Callithrix jacchus: one gene and its partners. The protein of the gene in region 1 interacts with the protein of each later gene in a pairwise test. Links are inferred from orthologs where the notes say so. Each region holds a gene or a part of one and is shown in the gene's direction. Other genes may lie near its edges.

Region 1 (5,625 bases):
ACTTTTTAGAGCAATACCAACAGCATAATCTGTGAAAAATATAATTGATAAGCTGGACTTCATTAAAATTTAAAACTTCTGCTCTCCAAAAGAAGAATGAAAAGACAAGCCACAGACTAGGAGAAAATATTATAAAAAATACATCTGATAAAGGAGTGTTAGCCACAACATACCCGGAACTCTTAAATCTCAGCAAGAAAATAACACAATGTAAAAATGGGCAAGATACCTGAACAAACACTTCATCAAAGAAGGTAAACACATGGCAAGTAAGTACATGAAAAGATGGTCAACATCATATGTCATTAGGGAATTGCAGATTAAAACAATAAGATACTACTTAAACTCCCAACCTCAAGTGATCTGCCTGCCTTGGCCTCCAAAGTGCTTGGATTACAGGCGTGAGCCACACGCCTGGCCCAAAACAATAAGATACTACTACACAGGGAAAATCCAAAATACTGACACCACAAAAATGCTGACAAGGATGTGGAGCAACAGAAACCATCATTCAATGCTGATGGGAATGCAATATGCTCCCGTGACTTTGAAAGACAGTTTGGTAGTTTCTTTTCTCACAAAACTAAATATACCATCCAATCCAGCAGTTGTACTCCTTGGCATTTACCCAGATAAATTGAAAACTCAGGTCTACACAAAAATCTGCACATGCTGTATAGTGGCTTGATTCATAATTGCCCAAACTTGGAAGCCGTCAAGATGTCTTTTCTTGGCTGAACAGATAAACTCTGGCATCTCCAGACAATGGAATATTATTCAACACAAAAAATAACCTTAAAAGCATGTTACTAAGTGAAAGAAGCTGACGTGAAAAGGCTGCATACTGTATGATTCCAAGTATATGGGATTCTGAAAAAGGCAAAAACTATGGAGACAGTAAAAGGAGCAGTGGCTGCCACTGGTTAGGGGACTGAGAAGGATGAATAGGTAGAGGACAGAGGACTTTCAGGTCAGTGAAACTATTGTGTATGACACCATAATGGTGGATACATGTCATTACACATTTGTCAAAACCCACAGAATGTGCAACACTGAGGGTAAACTCTAATGTAAACTGTGGACTCTGGGTGATAATGATGTGTCAATGTAGGGTCATCAATTGTTACCAAATGTACTACTGTAGCGCAAGATGTCCATAAGGGGACAGGTTGTGCATGTATGTGCCTGTGTGTACAGGGGATATATGAGAACTCTGTACTTTCTGTTCAATTTTGCCCTGAACCAAAAACTGCTCTAGTTTCATTAATAACAGTAATTTTAAAAAGCCAGGGCCCCTTCTGACCTAGGGAATCTCTGGTGATGGAGGGGGAGGGGTGTAGTCCCCTAGAAAGTTGAAATTTTTCAAAGTTACTCAACTGATTTTGTAGAGCTAGGTTTGGAACTGCTACCCTTTTCTATGCTGCCCGACCAAGTAGTGGTTCCTGAACCAGGTGTCAGGCTTCAAAGTTGTGCAAAATTTCTCATTACACTGTCTGGGCCCTAAATGTATGCTTTCCCCTCACCCCATAAATCAAGACTCTAAAACGCCAAGGATAGGAGAGCAGCACTTTCCCGTGTACTGAGTATGCAGGCAAGGGAGAGCAGTCAAGCACAGACTGGCTGATACCTAACCCCCAAATGGGCTGAAGCAGATACACTTTGAAGATCGACCACGGCGGAAATCTTTTTTTTTAATCCGTCAGGGGTGTCCCACTTATTGGGTCCCACAGCTGCGGTTTAGCAAGGAGTGGGTCTCACGTCACCAGGCCTCCCTCAAAGTCCTCCGCTCTAGCTTTGCGATTGGCGTTGGGGGAACAGGAGGGGAGGTGGGTGCTTTCATCGAGACTGCTGGGGGGGCCCGGACATCGAGGCCGGGGAGTCGTGGGTAGAGCCCCGATTCCAGCCAAGACGCCATAGGACATAAGTGAGCGTGGAGCGCAAAACGGCTACCCAAGCACAATTCTGGAAGACCGAAGGGCCGTTCTTCCACCTCTTAAATTTCCCGGGAGCCACGCCCCTCAACGGCCCGCTTTGGATTCCAAGGAGTCGCGCCGGAAGTGACCTCACGGAGGTGGCGAGGAGACGTGGGGGAGCTTCCGGCGGCGGCGTCGGTGGTTACCGCCGAACAGTGAGGGTAGACGTGGTGAGAGCCCCTCTTTGGGTCCCCTGGTGTTCTGTGGTCGACTTGGTGGTGGTGTGCGGAGGAGCTCGAGGCCCGTCGGCTCGGAGGTGGGAACCACGGGAGGCAGCTGGTTTGTGGACGCTCGTGGGAGGGGGCTTCCGGGGTTGCCAGCCGGAGTTGCTTTAGACTTCGGAGTTCCAGGCCTTGTAGACCTTTATTGAGGCGGGCACGAGATGGTGGCTTCATCGGGTACGCTGGGGTCTAGGTACTACGGGTGGCCGCAGGAGTTTGGTTTGAGGTGGGAGGCTGAGGACTGCAGGATTCTAAATAGTAAGGGGATTGTGAGAGGAGTGAGGCATTAGCGGCTTGGGCCCTTAGTCCAGGCTTCTTGGTGGCTGCTGCAGTTCATTGGCTCAGTCACTCATTGCTTGGTGCCTCAGTTTCCCATTGCATAATGAGATACGGTGGCAGAGAAGAACGCTAGTGCCACATCCATGACTGATAGTTTGAGGACGGAGGTGAACTGGAGTGTAGAAAAAGAGGGTGCCCGAGAAATTTATACTTACCAGGGCACATCTGAATCCCAGAAGTTATCCCTGGATTCATTTCTGCCTTTGGTGCCAGTCTGTGGTTCTTACCAGTACTCTTTGTGTGATATTGATTGTATTTATCAATACTTGACTTGTTGAGTGGTTAAAGTGTTTTTGGTTTGTGGGAGGCATAGCCCTTGTAGGCTTGGTCAGTTGATTTTTAATTAATCTTCCAATAGCAGTTGCTTCGGTTAGCTTTGCAATTGGGAGATTAATTGATAATTAACTGACCAAGCCAACAATCTTCTCCTGTGGTTTCAGATGAGGAACTCACGACCCAGAATGGTTTTTCTTCTCTTCCCTAGCCACAGATCAAACTGATTTCAGTCTGCTGTCTTAAATACAGGTCTTTACCCCACCAAAACAGAAATGACTGTCTCCAGGCAGTTTAGTATTTCAACTGGACACGCAGATGGTTCCTAATCTTTTTTTTTTTTAATGAATGACGGATTAGGTGTACTGAGCACAAAATTCTGTTAGTTTATTTCTCTGTATGATGTAAAAATGGTTGTAAAAACATGACTTTTTGTTTACTACGGATTTCTTGGTAGAGCCTCCTTGGCGTAGGGCTGTGGGGCTAGAAAAGTGTCAGAAATTTTTGACCTGTGACCCACAGTTAGATACATTTTTCATCATGACTTATTGTGCCCCTACACAGTGTGTACACACACACATCCTGATTAAAAGTTTACTTACTTTTTCTACAGAAGATACACTCTAAAAAAACTTTGGTTGCAACTCACTAAGTTGAGTCTGACCCTTAATAGGTCATGACGTATAGTTTAAAACATACCAACTCCCAGCACTTTGGGAGGCTGAGGCGGTTGGATCACCTGAGGTCAGGAGTTCGAGACCAGCTTGGCCAACATGGTGAAACCCCATCTCTACTAAAAATACAGAAATTAGCTGGGTGTGGTGGTGGACGCCTGTAATCCCAGCTACTTGGGAGGCTGAGGCAGGAGAATCACTTGAACCCGGGAGGCTGTGGTTGCAGTGAGCCAAGATTGTGCCGTTGCACTCTATCCTGGGTGACAAGAGTGAAACTCCATCTTGGAAAAAAAGTAGAAAAGAAAAATATTACACTAGGGCCGAGTGCAGTGGTGGGAGGATTGCTTAAGGCCAGCCTGGGCAACACAGTGAAACCCTGTCTCTAAGAAAAACAACATTGGAAAGTGTTTAAAATCATTGCCATTCGTGAGATTCTGTAATTAATGCAATATGGAAGAAGTGTCATTTTTCTTTTCTTATCCAGAGAAGGGCTTACTAGAGTTCTCCTAAATTCAGCAGAACAACAGGACAGGACATCCAAATTCTATCTCAAAGAAGCGTAGTGACCATAATAGTCACTGCGCTCCTGATAGTGTGTCAGAATTTTTAGCAAGGCATTTATTAAGTCTTATGATAATCGAGTGGGCGAGATGGAGGAATTTGCCAAATTGTGGTAGGACTAGATGGAGTCATGAGTTTTAGCATCTATATCTAGAGAGGTTTGATGTGTGGACATTACTTACGGCTGGAATTCTGGTGATCTAAACTGGAGTTTCATCACTTTCTTTATACACTTTATGTATTTGAAACCTTAGCTAGAAAGTTTGCTTATTGGATTTGGTGCCTTTATGAAGTAAAGCAAGGATCATTTGGTTGATGATTGCCAGAATGCTAAAACTTCTCACTATATTTGCTCAGTGTTTAATGAAATGGAAGAAGCATGTATAAATGTGAGAAATTGCACTTGGGTCCAAAAAAGTCAACTATAACCTATTGGGGGAGGGTGGAGATGTGACCTCACAGGAGTTCTTGTAATAAAAAGATTTGATATCTCAATCACCAGTCAGTGGTGTGGCCAAGAAAGCTGTGAGAAGTACTGATGTGACCTGCGTTAGTATATTGTATTAGGAGAATGCAAAATCTAGAATTAGAAAGGTTGCATCACTGGTAGGCTTGTACCTGAATATTAGGTCTGCATCTAGGTGTGCTAAGAGTAAATTTATGGGCAGAAATCAAGTCTGAAGATATGATGGTATTGCTTTGGCATGAATGGTTATTTTTCTCATTGTCATTTCAGGCTTACAGGTATACGCTGGGTCATTGGTCTTAAAACATTTCTGTTAGAGAGTTTCTGGAAGACTGGGGAGTCTGTTAGATCTTATATCCTTTTCAGTTGGCACCTGAAACTTTGCATCATAGATTTAAATAGTGTAAGTATTTTATTTATTTGTTTATTTATTGAGATGGAGTTTCGCTTTTCTTGCCCAGGCTGGAGTGCAGTGGCTTAATCTTGGCTCACTGCAACCTGCACCTTCCAGGTTCAAACGATTCTCCTGCCGCAGCCTCCCTAGTAGTTGGGATTACAGGTGCCCACCACCACGCCTGGCTAACTTTTTTTGCATTGTTAATAGAGATGGGTTTCACCATGTTGGCAGGCTGGTCTTGAACTTTTGACCTCAGGTGATCCACCCACCTCAGCCTCCCAGAGTGCTGGGATTATAGGCGTGAGCCACTGCACCCAGCCAGTATTTTATTTTAAATAGTTTAGGATGTAATTTCTAACAAGTAAATATTGACTTCTTAAATATAAAATTATCTAGGCCAGGCGCATTGGCTCATGCCTGTAATTCCAACACTTTGGGAGACTGAAGCGGGCCTATCACCTGAGGTGGGGAGTTAAGACCAGCTTGGCCTGAACATGGAAAAACCCTGTCTCTACTTAAAAAAAAAAAATAGCCGGCTGTGGCAGCGCATGCCTGTAATCCCAGCTACTGGGGAGGTGAGGCAGAAGAATTGCCCAAACCCAGGAGGCAGAGGTTACAGTGAGCCAAGATCGTGCCATTGCACTCCAGCCTGGGCAAGAAGAGCGAAACTCCATCTCAAAAAAAAAAAAAAAAAAGCAGTATATGTATTTTTTTTACAATA
Region 2 (5,003 bases), on another chromosome or scaffold:
TTACGGAATTTCATTCTCCAAACATTACAGGGTGTACTTGTACTTTCACAAACCTAGATGACATTGCCTACTAACACCTAGGCTCGATGGCATAGCCCATGGCTCCTAGGCTGTGGACCTGTACAGCACATCATTGTGCTGAGTATTACAGAATTTGTTGTCTATTTTGACTTTCATTGCGTGGGTTTGAATGTTGCCAAGGATTTTTAAACAAACAGCTGTGTCCTTCATAATTCTTTGCATCGGGAGTGACTAGGAGCTTTATAGTAGCCTAGCCTTGGTTATCTTACCAGGTATATTGTTGTTGTCTTGCATTATGGGGATATGATATTCCAGAAGCATTTGATGAACTTTTGTTTGGTACTCCATGCTTGCTATTAAGACCACATAGTGGGCCAGATGCGGTGGCTCACTCCTGTAATACCAGTATGTTGGGAGGCCAAAATGTGCAGATTACCTGAGGTCAGAAGTTTGAGACCAGCCTGGGCAATATGGTGAAACCCCGTCTCTACTAAAAATATAAAAATTAGCTGACCATAATGGCGCACACCTGTAATCCCAGCTACTTGAGAGGCTAAGGCATGAGAATCACTTGAACCTGGGAGGCAGAGGTTGCAGTGAGCTGAGATCGTGCCACTGCATTTCAGCCTGGGCGATAGGGCAAGACTCCATCTCAAAAAAAACAAACAAACAAAAAGATCACATGGTGTTTATGTGATTATAGTTTAAGCCAACTTCAATTTATTGAATGCTTTTTGGGCACCAGACATGATACAGAGAATTTAATTTCCACAACAGTGTTCTAAGATCATTGCCACAGTGTCCACAGTTTTCAGATAAGGAACTAGATTAGAAAGATTATGCTGGACTCAATGGCTCACTACAAAAAAATTTAAAAATAAACCAAGTACAGTGGCATGCACCTGTGGTCCCAGCTACGTGAAAGGATTGCTTGAGTCCGGGAGTTCCAGGCTGCAGTGAGCTCTGATCACACTACTACACTCCAGTCTTACTGACAGAGTGAGACCCTGTCTCAGAAAAACAAAGAAAAAGAAAGGTTATGTAGTTTTCCCAATTAACAGCTGAGGTATTTTTGATTTCAGACCCTAAACTCTATAGTTTTTTTTCAGAAGTAAAAATATGAAGAAATTGAACCATATAAGATCTTTAGCATTTTTTTGTATCCACAGATATTCATACTGCCTCATATTTGAAGTGAGATTCTAACATTAGTGGAATCTCTTTATTTAATATTTTCTAAGGCAAAATGGTTTGATATGAAGCTACAACTTTTTACAACCTCTGTGGGAGATTCTTGCCTCTTCCTCCACAAGAGTTACTTTTTACTGACTGAGTTTTTTCAGACCTGCCTTGTCCCTCTTACCTAGCAGGTGATGCTGTCCTCATACCAAGGAGAGAAGACAGAATGGCACCCTTAACTTTTGTCCTTCACATGCAGACTTGCCTGTATGCTCATTGCTGCTGGCCCTCTTTTTTCTTGTTGTCTGACATGATCTCCTCCTGACACAAGATCTCTTGCACCTGCCCCTTAAGCTCCATCTCTCCTTATGCTAATCTCCCCCTACTCCCCGAAAGAACTTTGGAAGAGAGCACTGTGGAGTGTCTGCTATGTACTGATTAGATCTGTGGTCCTGGGTGGCGGTGCCATTGCTCAGGTAGGCAAGTCCAGGAGCAAGAAAGATAAGGATTGGGGAATACATGAGAAAGAGAGCCCCTGCCTTGGCAAACTTGCTTTCCATGTTGTTGTTAGGAGTGCTGACATTAAACACGCACTTCCTATGTGCTGGCTCCCATACATTTCAGCCTCCCACTAGCCCTCCCTACTTTATAGAGGCCTGAGACTCAGAGTGGACAGCACTCCTCAGTCCACACAGCTGGAAAGGAGCAGAGCCAGGCAGCAGCAGTGGGCTCTAGGCCCTGAATCTGGGCATTTAATAGGACATCTCAGCTCTGTCACTGTAGCGTCCTAGGGGGATGCCTTTGCTCCCTTGACTTGTATTACCATTTTTGTGTTTTAAGAACACAAAATAACATTACCATTTTGTGTTCTGAGTCAGTACCTCCATGTTCTAGATGTCCCACAGAGACCTCCAGACATGTTCACAACTAACTTGAGCGTCCCCTTCTCCCTCAACCTAGGGGCTTTTCCAGGGCTGCCTGCCCACGCAGTGGCACCACCACCCAATACCCAGATAGCAAGGTGTCCTCTCAGCTCCATGCTCTTACCTGGCCAGCCACCAACTCCTTTTATTCCAACTCTAGTTCTCATCCTCTTCTCTGCCAGTATCTTAGACTCTCCTCAGTCTCGCCCCTCCAATTTGTCCTTTATGTGGCCGACCAGGTGCACATCCTAAAATGTAAAGCTTGATGGCTCATTCTCTGATCATGTCCCCATTGCCCTATGGATAAAGTCCAGATCCTCTAAAGTGTCTTGGACACTCTGCAGTCTGCCCACTGCTTCTCTCTTTCCCTGTCACCCTCCTACCCAGCCTCTGACCCAGCTGTGCTGAAGGACGTGTAGCTGTCTCAGTGACTGTGTTCCCAGCCAGCTGGCCTTATCCCTCCCCGCTCAGCCTTTTTCCCAGCGCCTTCGGTCCTGCTGGGCCCTGCAGCTCTGCCCTGCGGGGGTCTTATCACCAGTTATCCTGGCTTCTTTTTTCACATCACAGTCATAGCACAATGCCTGGCACCTGATAAATTCAAGAATTTTTATCAAATGGATGAGACAAACATTTGCCTAGACAACACTGGGTTTGTTTTCCTGTAAATGTGATTATACCATAGTCCTATCAATATTATACTAATTTGTGGTGGAATTTGCGGCCTTCCAGACTTTCTGAGGCCTTGAAAATCCTGTGTTTCAGTGAGTTAATTTTTCCACTATAAACAGATCTAAACAACTAAATAATTCACTCATTTTAGGAATAAAAATTTGAGGCCGCCTGTGTTTTCAAAGTGCTTTGGTATGTCTCCCACTAAAATGTAAGCTTTGTGAGAACTGTTGTTACTCCCTTGCTGCATCCTGTGGGCCTGGGTTAGAGCAGGACCTGACACCCCATTAGTTCTCAGGAAATAAAGGTTACTGACTATGGCAGTACTGCTTAAAGGTACAGGAAAGCATGAATATTTTTTCTTTGAATGGTTTTAATGGTGTCAGTAAACCAACTTACTAAAATAAATATAAACTTTAAATTGTCAGGCTTAAATGCTTTGCTTTTTCTTAAGAATTCTGTGACTAGGGAATAAGGAGGGGGAAATGGCCCACTATTAAATGGTTAGATTTATTTTCTGATATTTGGGACCCAGTCTCTGAGGTCCAGTGCCTAGCTTTTCATCAAGAACAGTGAAAGTAAACATAGACTCGCCTCATCAGCATTTGGTCCCTGTGTCTCCTCTAGTGTCATTTCCCTTCGTGTGTTGCTGACATGAAGCAATTGGGCACAATTAGCTTTGCCAAGAAAAGGAATGGTGAATTATGATGCTGCTACCCAGAGACCTTAAAAATTTGAATTATATTACTGATGCAAATTTCCATCCGCCACTCTGGGAACACTAGATGAACCTGGGCCTTAATCCTAAGTACATCTTCATTTTTTTTTTTTTACCATTCCTTATTTTTATACTCCATCCTTGATTCTGCAAAATCTTTTGGTTTCTGGAAAAGAAGTTTGGTTATGCTGATATATGGAGAGACCTCTTTTCACTGGGTGGTTTGATTTGTTTTTCAGTCTGCTCTATCTGGACACAAGCATCTGACAGTAGAAGAGTTATTTGGAACCTCTTTGCCAAAGGAACAGCCAGCAATTGTGGGTCTGGATTCAGAAGAAGTGGAGAGGTTGCCAGGAGATTCCTCCCAGAAAGATCCCAGTTCCTTTCTACCGTTTCCCTTTGAGCAGTCAGGAGGAACCCCTCAATCAGAAACCCTGGGTGTCCCTTCTGCCCACCACTCAGTCCAGCCTGAAATCACCACCCCAGTGCTAATCACTCCAGCCTCCATCACACTGTCCAATGAAAAGCATGCCCCAAGCTACACAATCCCTTTGAGCCCGGTTCTCAGTCCCACTCTGCCAGCTGAAGCTCCTACTACACAGGTTCCCCCCAGCTTACCTCGAAACAGCACCATGATGCAGGCAGTGAAGACCACGCCTAGACAGAGGTCTCCACTCCTGAACCAGCCAGTCCCTGAGCTAAGCCATGCCAGTCTGATTGCCAACCAGAGCCCCTTCAGGGCCCCATTGAATGTGACAAACACAGCTGGCACATCCCTCCCAAGCGTTGATCTTCTCCAGAAACTCAGGTTGACCCCACAGCATGACCAAATACAGACACAACCACTTGGGAAAGGTGCAATGGTAGCAAGCTTTTCTCCAGTAACTGGCCAGTTGGCCACACCTGAGAGCTTCATAGAGCCTCCCTCTAAGGCAGCAGCAGTGAGAGCAGCAGCCCCAGCCTCTCTGAGCAACATGGTGCTTGCTCCCTTTCAGGTAATGGCAGGAAGGTGGCGGTGGGTAGGGTGGGTAACTAATTGGATGGGATGAAACTAAAAAGACCTTGTTTGAACTGTCATAACACTGACAGTTTTAAAGAGTTGTCTCTTTAAAGTATGTCAGTGGCTAGGAGACAGGTGAGATAAGAAGCCCTATCATGAACAACCAATTAACGTATTTTCGTATCTGGATATGCATTTTAGCTGGGGTTATTTGTTTTGCTTTTGTGCAACAGTTCCAGGAGTCCTCATTTGACTCACGACCAAATTATCCCAAAACTTAGCTCCCTTCCCAGCTCCCACTGTACTTTCCTGGAGTGCCTACCTTGTGCCGAGTAACCTAGAGGTCCCATAAGAGCATCCTAGACTTGGAGGTATGAGTTCAAATAAAGCTACTTTTTTCACATCACGTTATCAAGAAGTGTCATACTGCCTGGATCTCTCATCTCAACAGACTCAACAGCAAAAATATGCCCAGGCTGAAGAAGAAACATCA
Region 3 (4,399 bases), on another chromosome or scaffold:
CCCCTCCAAAAGTCATGTCTACCTCAAACCTCAGAATGTAACTTTATTTCTAAATAGTCTTTGCAGATATAATTAATTAAGATGAAGTTATACTGGATCAGAGTGGACCCTAAATGCTGTGACTGGCGACTTTATAAGAAAGCCCCGTGAAGACATAGAGATATACAGAGAGCACCATGTGAAGGTGGAGGCAGAAGCTGGAGTGGTGTGCCTACAAGCCAACAAACAACTGCCAGCAATCACTAGAAGCTAAGAAAGAGGCATGCAATAAATTCCCACTTAGAGCCTCCAGAAAGAGCCAAGGCTGCCAACACCTTGATTTTGGACCCCTGGCCTCTTGAACTGTGAAAGAATAAGTTTCTGTTGCTTTAAGCCACTTACTTCGTGGTACTTTGTTATGGCAGCCCCAGAAAACTAATAACAGACACTGTCAACTGTTACTAAATTTAGAATTCTTAGAACCATCCTTACCTATACTCGTTTCCTAGCGATGCCCACATGAAATACCACAAACTGAGTTGCTTAAAACAGTAGAAATTTATTCTTCTGCAGTTCTGGAGGCTAGCAGTCCAAAATCTAGGTGTCAGCAGGGCCATGCTGCCTCTCAAACCTGTGTGGGAATCCTTCCCTGCCTCTTCCTAGACTCCGATGCTTTGCTGGCAGTCTTTGGTGTTCCTTGGTTTGCAGCTGCAGAACTCTAATCTCTGCCTCTTTGGTCACCTGGTGTTCCCCCGGTGTGTCTCTGTCTTCACCTGACTTTTTATAGGGAGGCCAGTCATATTGGATTAGAGGCTCACCCTACTCCAGAATGACCTCATCTTCCTCATCTTAATTTACCTAATTACATCTGCTAAAACCCTATTTCCAAACAAGGTCACATGCTGAGGCACAAGGGGTGAGGACTTCACATACCTCTTTTGGGGCGGGGACACAATTCAACCTATAGCACTACACCTTTCTTTTGTCACCATTTCAAACTGATCCCCTTCTAGCTATTTCACGTTCTCCTGCAGCAGCTTCTCTCAGAGGTAGCTCCTGTTCTCCATGCCTGCTTCAGCTGCCCTGGTTATGGCACCGTCATCTTTTCGTGGTATTATTACACTCACCTCCAGATTGATTTTCTTACTGCATTTCATTCTCTGTACATCCAGCAAGTTAGCTCATCGGTTTCTAATCAGATTGCTGTCATTTCCCTGGCCAAGACCTATCAGTGACTTCCCCTAACCACAGCCTCAAGTATAAACTAGCACAGAAGGTCAGAAGTTCGGCCCCAGCTTCTCCTTCTAACCATCTCTCTTGCCACTTTGTACCATGTGCCACAAACCACACTGCTCTACTCACCCTTTCTTTAAAATAGTTTTTAGATCTCTAGGCCTTTGCTTATGCTTTTCCCTATGCCTGGAACATCCTTCACTACCCTTAACCCTCTGCTGAACTGCTTTGTGTCCCATAAGGTCCAACTGAAACACCACTTAATCAGCTGGCTTCCAAAATTCTATCACATCAAATAATTGAGCCTTTACCTATGTGTCTGACACCTTGTGATTCTGGATACTAATATTAATATACATATATACAACAATTAATCTTGACAGTCATATTTCAATCTTGACAGTAGAAATATAAGCAACTGTATGTACGGACTTTGCCTCCTGTTGATATTAATTAACTATTGCAGCATACGCAAAGAGTTTGTGTGTATATATACACACATATGTATTACATATTATAGAAAATGTGCATCTGTGTGTGCATGTGTATGCACACATAAAGTGGCTTATCTTCAGGATCATACTGTGAGTGATCCAGCGTTCTTTTCAATGTTTCCTGAAGAAACAGTAACCAAGCAACATATAGCTAATAGTTTGTATTTTAAAAATTGGGTTCTTTAGATGGCAGTTCATGCCTGTAATCCCAGCACTTTGGGAGACTGAGGTGGATGGATAACTGGAAGCCAGGAGTTCAAGACCAGACCAGTCTGGCCTGTATGGGGAAACCCATCTCTCCTAAAAATACAAAACTTAGCCAGGCATGGTGCCGTGTGACTGTAATTCCAGCTACTCGGGAGGCTGAGGCACGAGAATCACTTGAACCCAGGAGGCGGAGGTTGCAGTGAGCCAAGGTTGCACCACTGCACTCCAGCCTGGTGCCTGGTGACAGAGTGAGACTCTGTCTAAAAAAAAAAAAAAAAGAAAAAAAGAAAAAAAAGAAAGTATGGGAGGAGCTATCACTGTAACAATGCCGAATAACAACTCCTTAAATTTCAGTGGTTCACAAGACACATTTCTTTTCTTGTCTGTGGGCATGTAGGTCAGTCAAGCATGGGTGGATTCAGCTGAGCTTGGCTCTTAGTCTACAAGTCCAGCCTGGTCTGATCTACCTTGGTCATTCTAAGAACAGCAGCGTCCCAGGCCATGTTCTTCTTATGGTGATGGCAGAGGCACGGAAGGCCAAGCCAAATGATGCCAGCACGCTGGAGCCTCTGTTCATGATATGTCTGCTTACAGTACATAGGTCAAAGCTAGTCATGTGGCCCACCCCATATCAAAGGAACAGGAAAATACACTCTTCTTACTCCACGGGAGGTCCTAGAGTCACATGACAAAGAGTGTGGGTGCATAATTCTTATACAGGCAGGCAATGAAGAATCAAGAACAAGTATCCAGTCTACCACAAAGTCCTTATGAACCTAAAGTAGATGGTACAAATTTTCACTTTGAATATAAACTGTTTGGTGTTGAATTTGCAAAACTGTACTTGGAAATGTGGCTCTAATCGTATCCATTTTTGTTTTTTTTTCTAGAGATGTGAGGATGTTTGGCTTGGGATGTCATCACCTATTCCTGCAAAAAACATTGACTACTTAACCTTTTTGAAGGATACGTTTGGCTTAGAGGAGGAATAACCATGCCAGTTTTGGTCAATTCTTTTTGATTTACTTCTCTAATTTTGCCACATTTACTTTAGTAGATATAATTTCATTAAAAACAAAAAAGAAACAAGGTTTATATTGAATGGGAATCCGTAAACCACAATGAATCTTATTTTGTCATGTTAGATTTTCAGGACACCATATTATATTGCTGATGTACTAGTACTATTTAAAATGCCATTTTGAAACATGTTGAGTATTTTTATTATATGTATGATTTATTAATACCAAAAATCTTCTGATAGTTTCTCATCAAACATAATTTGATTCATGACTATATGAATGGAAAGTGAATTTTGATGGTTATACATGACAATATAAAATGAAATTATATCACAGAAATAAGTTGTGATTCTATTAAACATTTCTGAAATCTTTTTGACATGTTTATTACTTATATAATTAAGTTTTCTGGCAACTCACCTCATCAAAATAGTTCTTAAACCTTTCTAGAGTAAATATGTTTATCTTTTGAACTTAGTAAAGCTATGGAAAGAAAAAACCTCCCCTCGACACACACACATACTTGGGAAACAAATGGGAACATATGCAGTATTTATATTTTTAATACCCTTTTTTTAACTAAAGTCATCTTCTTAGCTTAGGAATATATGCATGTGTATATAATTATAGTATGGCCAAAATTTATTATGTCTAAAATATTTAGGAATGTGAATGCTGAAGATTTTGAGATTTTTTTTTTTTTTTGGTTTGTTTTATACACACATCCCACCCACCCCACCCTAGAGGTTTACATATTCAGAAACTACAACATTTCCCCCACTGCATTTTTCTAGTTCTATTTTTATTTTTCTTCAATGGAACTCTTGTCATATACTGTACATTTGATTAAAACCCATAGCCATGTACTTCTGGGAATTCAGTGTAGAAGTCTATCTCAGTCTATCTGTTGTTCAGTGTTGGGTGCTATGTATCATCAATCCATTTCCCTGGTGTTCTCGGAGACAATGGAGGCCTCTCAAGAAGGACCTGCACCATTTACCTTTCAGTGACTACTTTGAGAAGAAGAGGAGCTGATGACATCTCAAGGGACCCTTCGGACTCATTATTCTTTCACTCCATATTTGCAGTAGTGTCTTGCTGGCTTCTTGGCACTCAAATGTACCAATATGCTCTTGACAACAGTGGTCCTTTCATGTTTTAAAAATTGAAGTTAATCGATAAACTATTTCTATATAGAAACCTACGATAATTCCACATGTGCTATTGTTAGAATAGATGCTTCCCCCCACCCCCACCCTTTCAGGACTTTAAACTAGTATCCTCAATTTATATACTAAAACTATCTACCATAAAACCTAAATTTCACTACTTGATTTTTGTCCCAGGTTTTTTTTAAGGCAACTGACAGTGCCAAGCCATTTTGTCACTTTAAGATTTTTCATTCCCCAGAGAGCAAGCTTTTAGAAGGATGACACTTTCCTGGAACTTTTCAAGCTGACACAT
Region 4 (5,662 bases), on another chromosome or scaffold:
ACCTGAAACAGTGTTTAGAATAGAGAAAAAGCTTAATTATTGATAACATTGTTACTATACAGATTACAGATAAATGATATTTAAGTATAAGTAAATAAGTTACAACTAAACATTTTTAAATTTTCATCAAGGAAATTTTCATAAACAGATAAAATAGAGGCATTTCAACTAATTAACTACCATCTTCTCAATAGCTTTTGAGATTTTGACACACTGGTTTCAAAAGGTGTCTTATGATCCTTTCTTCCATTGAATATTATAAACCAAATACCAGATGTCATAGTTTCCACTGAAGACATGTTGTTAAAAGCTAAATCACAAAATAATGATGAATAATATTATATGCTAAGTAATTATTATCTGGGAGAAAATTAGGGAATATTATCAAATCTATTTTCTCTGAATTATCTAATAATCTTAGGGAAAATATTTTGGTCTCAAATATTTTGACAACTTTTGTTCAGATTCATATATTTAGTCTATAATGAAAGCTTACTAAAATAATCATAAAAAATTATAGTTGAAAACTCTTCTTTTGTTTCTAATTCTGAATCCTAGAGTTTTAATAAGTATATCTATTATTTTATAATTGCTATATGCTGTCTAAATATACACAGCAAAAACACAAGACCTTGATTCATACACAGACACATACACATATATAGTAGAACTTACTAAATGTTAATGTTTTTGAGCCAAATATCATGCTTCCATATATCTCTCATAGTACCAGGTATACTGGTAAGCTAATCAGATAATATAAATTGAATGCTGAATAACATATGTATATGTATGTAGCTGCTATATATACGTGTATATATATACACACACACACTTGGGTGCATTACATTAAGACATCTTGCTTAATGGCTTTTACTCATATTTTAACATCAGAATTATTTGGGGTACTTCTAGAGCTATGGATACTGATCAGTTGACACTTGTAGTATTCTGTTCTTTCAATAAAGAATTATTTTCTCTTAATTCTTTTTCAAAGCTTTTTAAAATTTTTATAAATGAACACTGTATTTTTCACTAAATAGCCAGTAACAGTAAAATAACATAATACAGATTCATTTTGTTATTTTTGGAATAAAATATAAATGTATCTAGATAGTTTCCAATACTATATTAAACTTGACAGGTTTTTCCTAAATTTGTTTCCTTAAAATGCAATAGTTAAACATTAAAATTACATGTACAATATATAAAAATTAAGTACAAGAATGATGGTGAATATGTTTCTCCAAAGGCTTTTATTGGAGGATAATGAATTCTTCCCTAAATACATTTAAAATATATTTTTCATTTTTGTATTTTTAGTAGAGACAGGGTTTTGCCATTTTGCCAGGGCTGGTATCAAACTCCCGACCTCAAGTGATCGGCCTGTCTAAGCAACCAAAGTGCTGGGATGTTAGGCGTGAGTCACTGTGCCTGGCTCCTAAATGCATTATTTTTTTAATATAAGAGCAGATCAACAGTAGTTGAAATATTTTTTAAATGGTGTAGATACATATAGAGCCTAGCAATTTAAGATATGAAACTAGGGTTGGAGCACTTGAAAGAGTTTGGATGTTAATAACAATTAATCAGAAATAAATCATTAACTTTGTGGGTAATCAACTTAGCTTTCCATAAGTCATCAGCTTTTTCAAAATATTACATTTCTTTCATTGGTTGGCTACTTTATGTGTCTTAAATCAACATGCAACCAGAGATTAGGTTAATGGTTCTATTTATTTTGTGCAGTAACTCTGCATACTCACCTATGATTGATAACTAAGTATAAATACGTATCTCAATTCATGCAGTATCCAGATTTGCTCTTCCATTTTCTCATCTGAATCTGAGGTGAACAGTGAACGTATTTACATTTGATTTAGCAGTGAACCTCCATTCTTTCTGGATCCACAGTGAAACAAGTTTATGCGATTGATCAAATATTTCGATCCCTGAAGCTAATCATAATCGTCAAAATGTTTTGTGGAGACTATGTGAGTATAATGGTTATTTCTGTAAAGCTTTTCAGTCTTTTAAGAATTCAGTAGTAAAATTTTATATGTGTTTCTTGACTTTTTAAAGGAAAATATTGTTTTAATTTGTTTTTCATAAATTTTTAATTAGTGGGTCTTCAATAAAGCTATTATACAAAGTTAATATTATTAACTCCTAAATCCATGCTAATTTTGAAACAATGTATTATCCCACAGAGGCCAGTCAGTTGTCCCTACTTTCACAAGTAATTTGATTCCAAATTTTAACTGAAGCTATCATGATTTTTTAACCTCAATATTGATTTCTATCTATAAAACATTAAAATAATTTTAACTATTAATTTTATTTTAAATCCATGCTTTCTTTAGAAGACAGCTTGTTTTTGAATAATTTTATGTTGAATTGAAGCAATGTATAACAAGACTTAGTCTTTTATTTTTTGTTTTGTCCTTGTCTGAATCATTTCATTGCAACTGCTCTGATAGTTCACTAACTTTTAAAGAGCCAACATAAACATTAAGTTATCTGAATATATATTATATGTAAAGGTCTCCATTTCACACGGTCTTGAAATTTTATACAAGAATGTATCTATTCCTTATGGTCTTGGAAATTATACACAAGTACATGTGTGTTGATGATTCTTTAAAAATCTATCCTATAAAAAAAGCTTTCTGGGAACTTTTATGCAAAAACAATCATAACATAATTATTAGGTTAAACTTTGGCAAACAAACAATATTGTTTACTCATACAAAGTCATCATTGCAAGAAAATTCTACTTAAATATTTTGTTTCTTCACATAAATACTGAAATAGGAATTATAGTGTGGCTATTTTTCCATCGCTGTTAGTTTAAGATTTCAAGTTCTCATTTTGCAGTTGAAAGTTGCCATTATCATTGTATTCATTGAGAGGTAGTTATATTTCACTATAAAGAAATAAAAGTTACCAAGTAATTAGGCCAGCATGGTAAATGGTTAAATACGAAAATGCCTTTTGTTTTCTCTTTCAGTTCATTTGAGTATAATTACTTGGAAATGATTACTATTATATTCAGTGCATTGTGTGGTCTAATTTTACTATTTATATGTCAGTTTTCCAAAAGAAACATTAATAAAGCAAGATTTTATTAAGAGACAATTGCAAGCCTGAGTTTTGATATATTAGTAAGATATAAATCATATTGTAGGAAGATATTATTATATTATAGTAGTTCTCTTAGTATGGAGGAAATTGTACTATACAGGTACTTGCCCAAGCCAGGATTTAAACCCAGGTATCTCTATGTCCGTAGAACGCAAATTCTTTTTATTAATCTATAATGTCTCTTTAGAGTACATCTTCCTTTTAGAATAGAATTTTCTTGTAAAAATGGTTCCTGATTTTGTCCTGTTTTGTCATCAACTGATCCCTCTTTTTCATACAGTTGCATTTTATTTACTGTAGATTCATTTCTTAGAAGATATCCTTCCTTTTGACCTCTCATAGGATTAGAGTTAACTTTAACCCTGTTTGCTTTTCTATTCTTTTGACACCTTTTCCTATTTCTACCATATTCACTGACAGAAAATGTTGATCATAGCAGTATAAAAAGCAAGATACATATTGATATATTTCTTACCTAAAATAGCATTATGTATTACACAAACATAGAGAAATTTTATAATAATTGCCTGAATGTCTATATACATCATCCATACCTCATTTAATCTTCACAGCAAATTGTCTTATAAAAATGCCATTTAATATGCAAAGGTTGAAGTTCTTTTGGAGGCACTCTTCTACCCAGTTGTTTTATATATATTATTTTTGTGTTTGCCACCCCTTTTTCCAGATGAAAATACTGGTTCAGAGAAATTAAAGACTTTTTCCAGGAGTAAAAAACTCAGGAGGTGAGGGAAACATAGGATCCTTTGTAACTCCAAAATCATTTCTACCACAACAAGATAAAAATGCCTAGGTATGATTATTCTTTGTGACCCTAATTAAACGAGAAAATCATAGCAGCAGTCTCTTTACAAAGATGCTTTGACTCATGCATTTTCCCAGAATAGCTCAAGAGCGCCAAAGTCAGACAACAGCAAGTTACACAATGTCTACCATGGACAATGAGACATACAGCATTTTAGCCTAACTAACATAAAATAAACGCATTGGTTTCTAGCAGCAGATTACATGTAGTGAAGGAAAGGCACTCCATAAATTGAAAAAGAATCCAGGCTATATTGCATGAGAGTGATTGCAGACTGAGAACCCATCTCATGGGCAGAGAGGCAGTTGATAAGGTAAGAATTATTTTCAAAACTGACTTTCCCTGTAGAAAGTAATTCCCAGGACAAAAACTTCCATCCAAGAAATCTGACTTTGATTGTTTATCTGCAATATGACTTACTGAGCAAATATTATTTAAAGGTTATTCATACTTTAGATTGCTTTTCACTATCACAAGACTACATTATCTGAACTTTACACACTTTGATTCAACAAAAGTTATGAATCATGCTGGTTATGGCTTCAACTTTTACTGAAGCTTCTGTAGAACTAATAAGAATTGGATTGGAAAAATTAAATGTAATAGCTTTTTCCTTGAAGAGGTATGCATACATGTTGTTAATTTTTAAAAAATACTATTATAACAATAATAGACTGCTTTTAATCTAGGGGCTGGGCAAATATGACTGTGGGATAGTGACTAAACACACACTGAAAGCTAGCCTTTCTGCATAGGATCCACGTGACTGAGCACAGGTTGCTGAATCTTTCTGCATCTCAATTTTTCTGCCTGTTAAGTGAGTGTGATACCAGCAGCTATCTTGTAAGGGTATCTTGAGAATTGTTTGGCAGGAAAAGCACGAAGAAGAGTATCTAGAGCATAGAAGTATCCCAAAAAAGATGAGCTGTTATTCACAGTATTATTTAGTACCAGTGCCAAAACTTGAATCCAACTCTCTGATTCAAAAGCCCTGGCCTTCAGCAGCCCAATGCACTGCTTCTAGAGCAGAGGTTAAGTGTGTATTCATTACTAATACAAGTGTGTGTGTGTGTGTGTGTGTAACACATATATAAGCATATATGTATACATGTGTACATACAACAGTCCCAAATTTTATGAAGAAATTTGAGAAACATCAAAAGTTTCACACAGGGAAATATATTTTCTCTTAAACTCAGCATAATGTTTATTTGTAAGTAGACTCTATCATGCAAAAAAAAAAAATTCATAAACCCACTTACTTCAATTTCTGCTAACTTCTCTTCTTTGTTATGGCAAAACTCCTCAAACACGTATTACACCCACTACATACATTTCTTCTCCTTCAGTCACCTCTGTATCCACTCATTGAGTTTCTTTCTCAAATGCCCTACCTGAACTGTTCTTATTAAGGTAAACAGTGACCTTCATATGGTTAAATCTCGTGCCCAATTCTCTCCTGTAATTTTGCTAGATATATGGGTGTTATTAGAAACAATTGCCTTTGAGAGAAATATTCCAGGGCTAAATTCTGAAACTCTTTTCCTTCCTACTTATAGCCTCTTCTTTGTACATAGCATCGAGTATAATGGTTTTAATTTCATTCTACATACAGATTCTTTTCTGAATTTATTTCTCAACCTGGAAGCTATGCCTAAATTCCAGATTCCTATAACCAAGTGTCTACTCAGG

The links.
Region 2: the proteins of EDC3 (region 1) and DCP1A interact in binary tests that used the Homo sapiens proteins (3 or more experiments, as listed by UniProt). The two-hybrid records come from large-scale screens. The link is inferred for Callithrix jacchus from reciprocal best matches to the Homo sapiens genes EDC3 and DCP1A.
Region 3: the proteins of EDC3 (region 1) and EFHC2 interact in binary tests that used the Homo sapiens proteins (3 or more experiments, as listed by UniProt). The link is inferred for Callithrix jacchus from reciprocal best matches to the Homo sapiens genes EDC3 and EFHC2.
Region 4: the proteins of EDC3 (region 1) and ANXA10 interact in binary tests that used the Homo sapiens proteins (3 or more experiments, as listed by UniProt). The link is inferred for Callithrix jacchus from reciprocal best matches to the Homo sapiens genes EDC3 and ANXA10.

What each region holds. Positions count from the first base shown.
Region 1 is NC_133509.1:21,560,805-21,566,429, forward strand, and holds the start of EDC3 (enhancer of mRNA-decapping protein 3), read left to right. Parts: upstream 1-2,084; 5' UTR 2,085-2,371; intron 2,372-4,777; exon of another isoform or gene 4,778-4,910; intron 4,911-5,625. UniProt on the Homo sapiens protein: Binds single-stranded RNA. Involved in the process of mRNA degradation and in the positive regulation of mRNA decapping. May play a role in spermiogenesis and oogenesis.
Region 2 is NC_133516.1:35,838,991-35,843,993, reverse strand, and holds part of DCP1A (mRNA-decapping enzyme 1A), read left to right. Parts: intron 1-3,749; coding exon 3,750-4,505; intron 4,506-5,003. UniProt on the Homo sapiens protein: Necessary for the degradation of mRNAs, both in normal mRNA turnover and in nonsense-mediated mRNA decay. Removes the 7-methyl guanine cap structure from mRNA molecules, yielding a 5'-phosphorylated mRNA fragment and 7m-GDP.
Region 3 is NC_133524.1:45,132,913-45,137,311, reverse strand, and holds the end of EFHC2 (EF-hand domain-containing family member C2), read left to right. Parts: intron 1-2,803; coding exon 2,804-2,905; 3' UTR 2,906-3,319; downstream 3,320-4,399. UniProt on the Homo sapiens protein: Microtubule inner protein (MIP) part of the dynein-decorated doublet microtubules (DMTs) in cilia axoneme, which is required for motile cilia beating.
Region 4 is NC_133504.1:23,298,003-23,303,664, reverse strand, and holds the start of ANXA10 (annexin A10), read left to right. Parts: upstream 1-1,816; 5' UTR 1,817-1,976; coding exon 1,977-1,994; intron 1,995-5,662.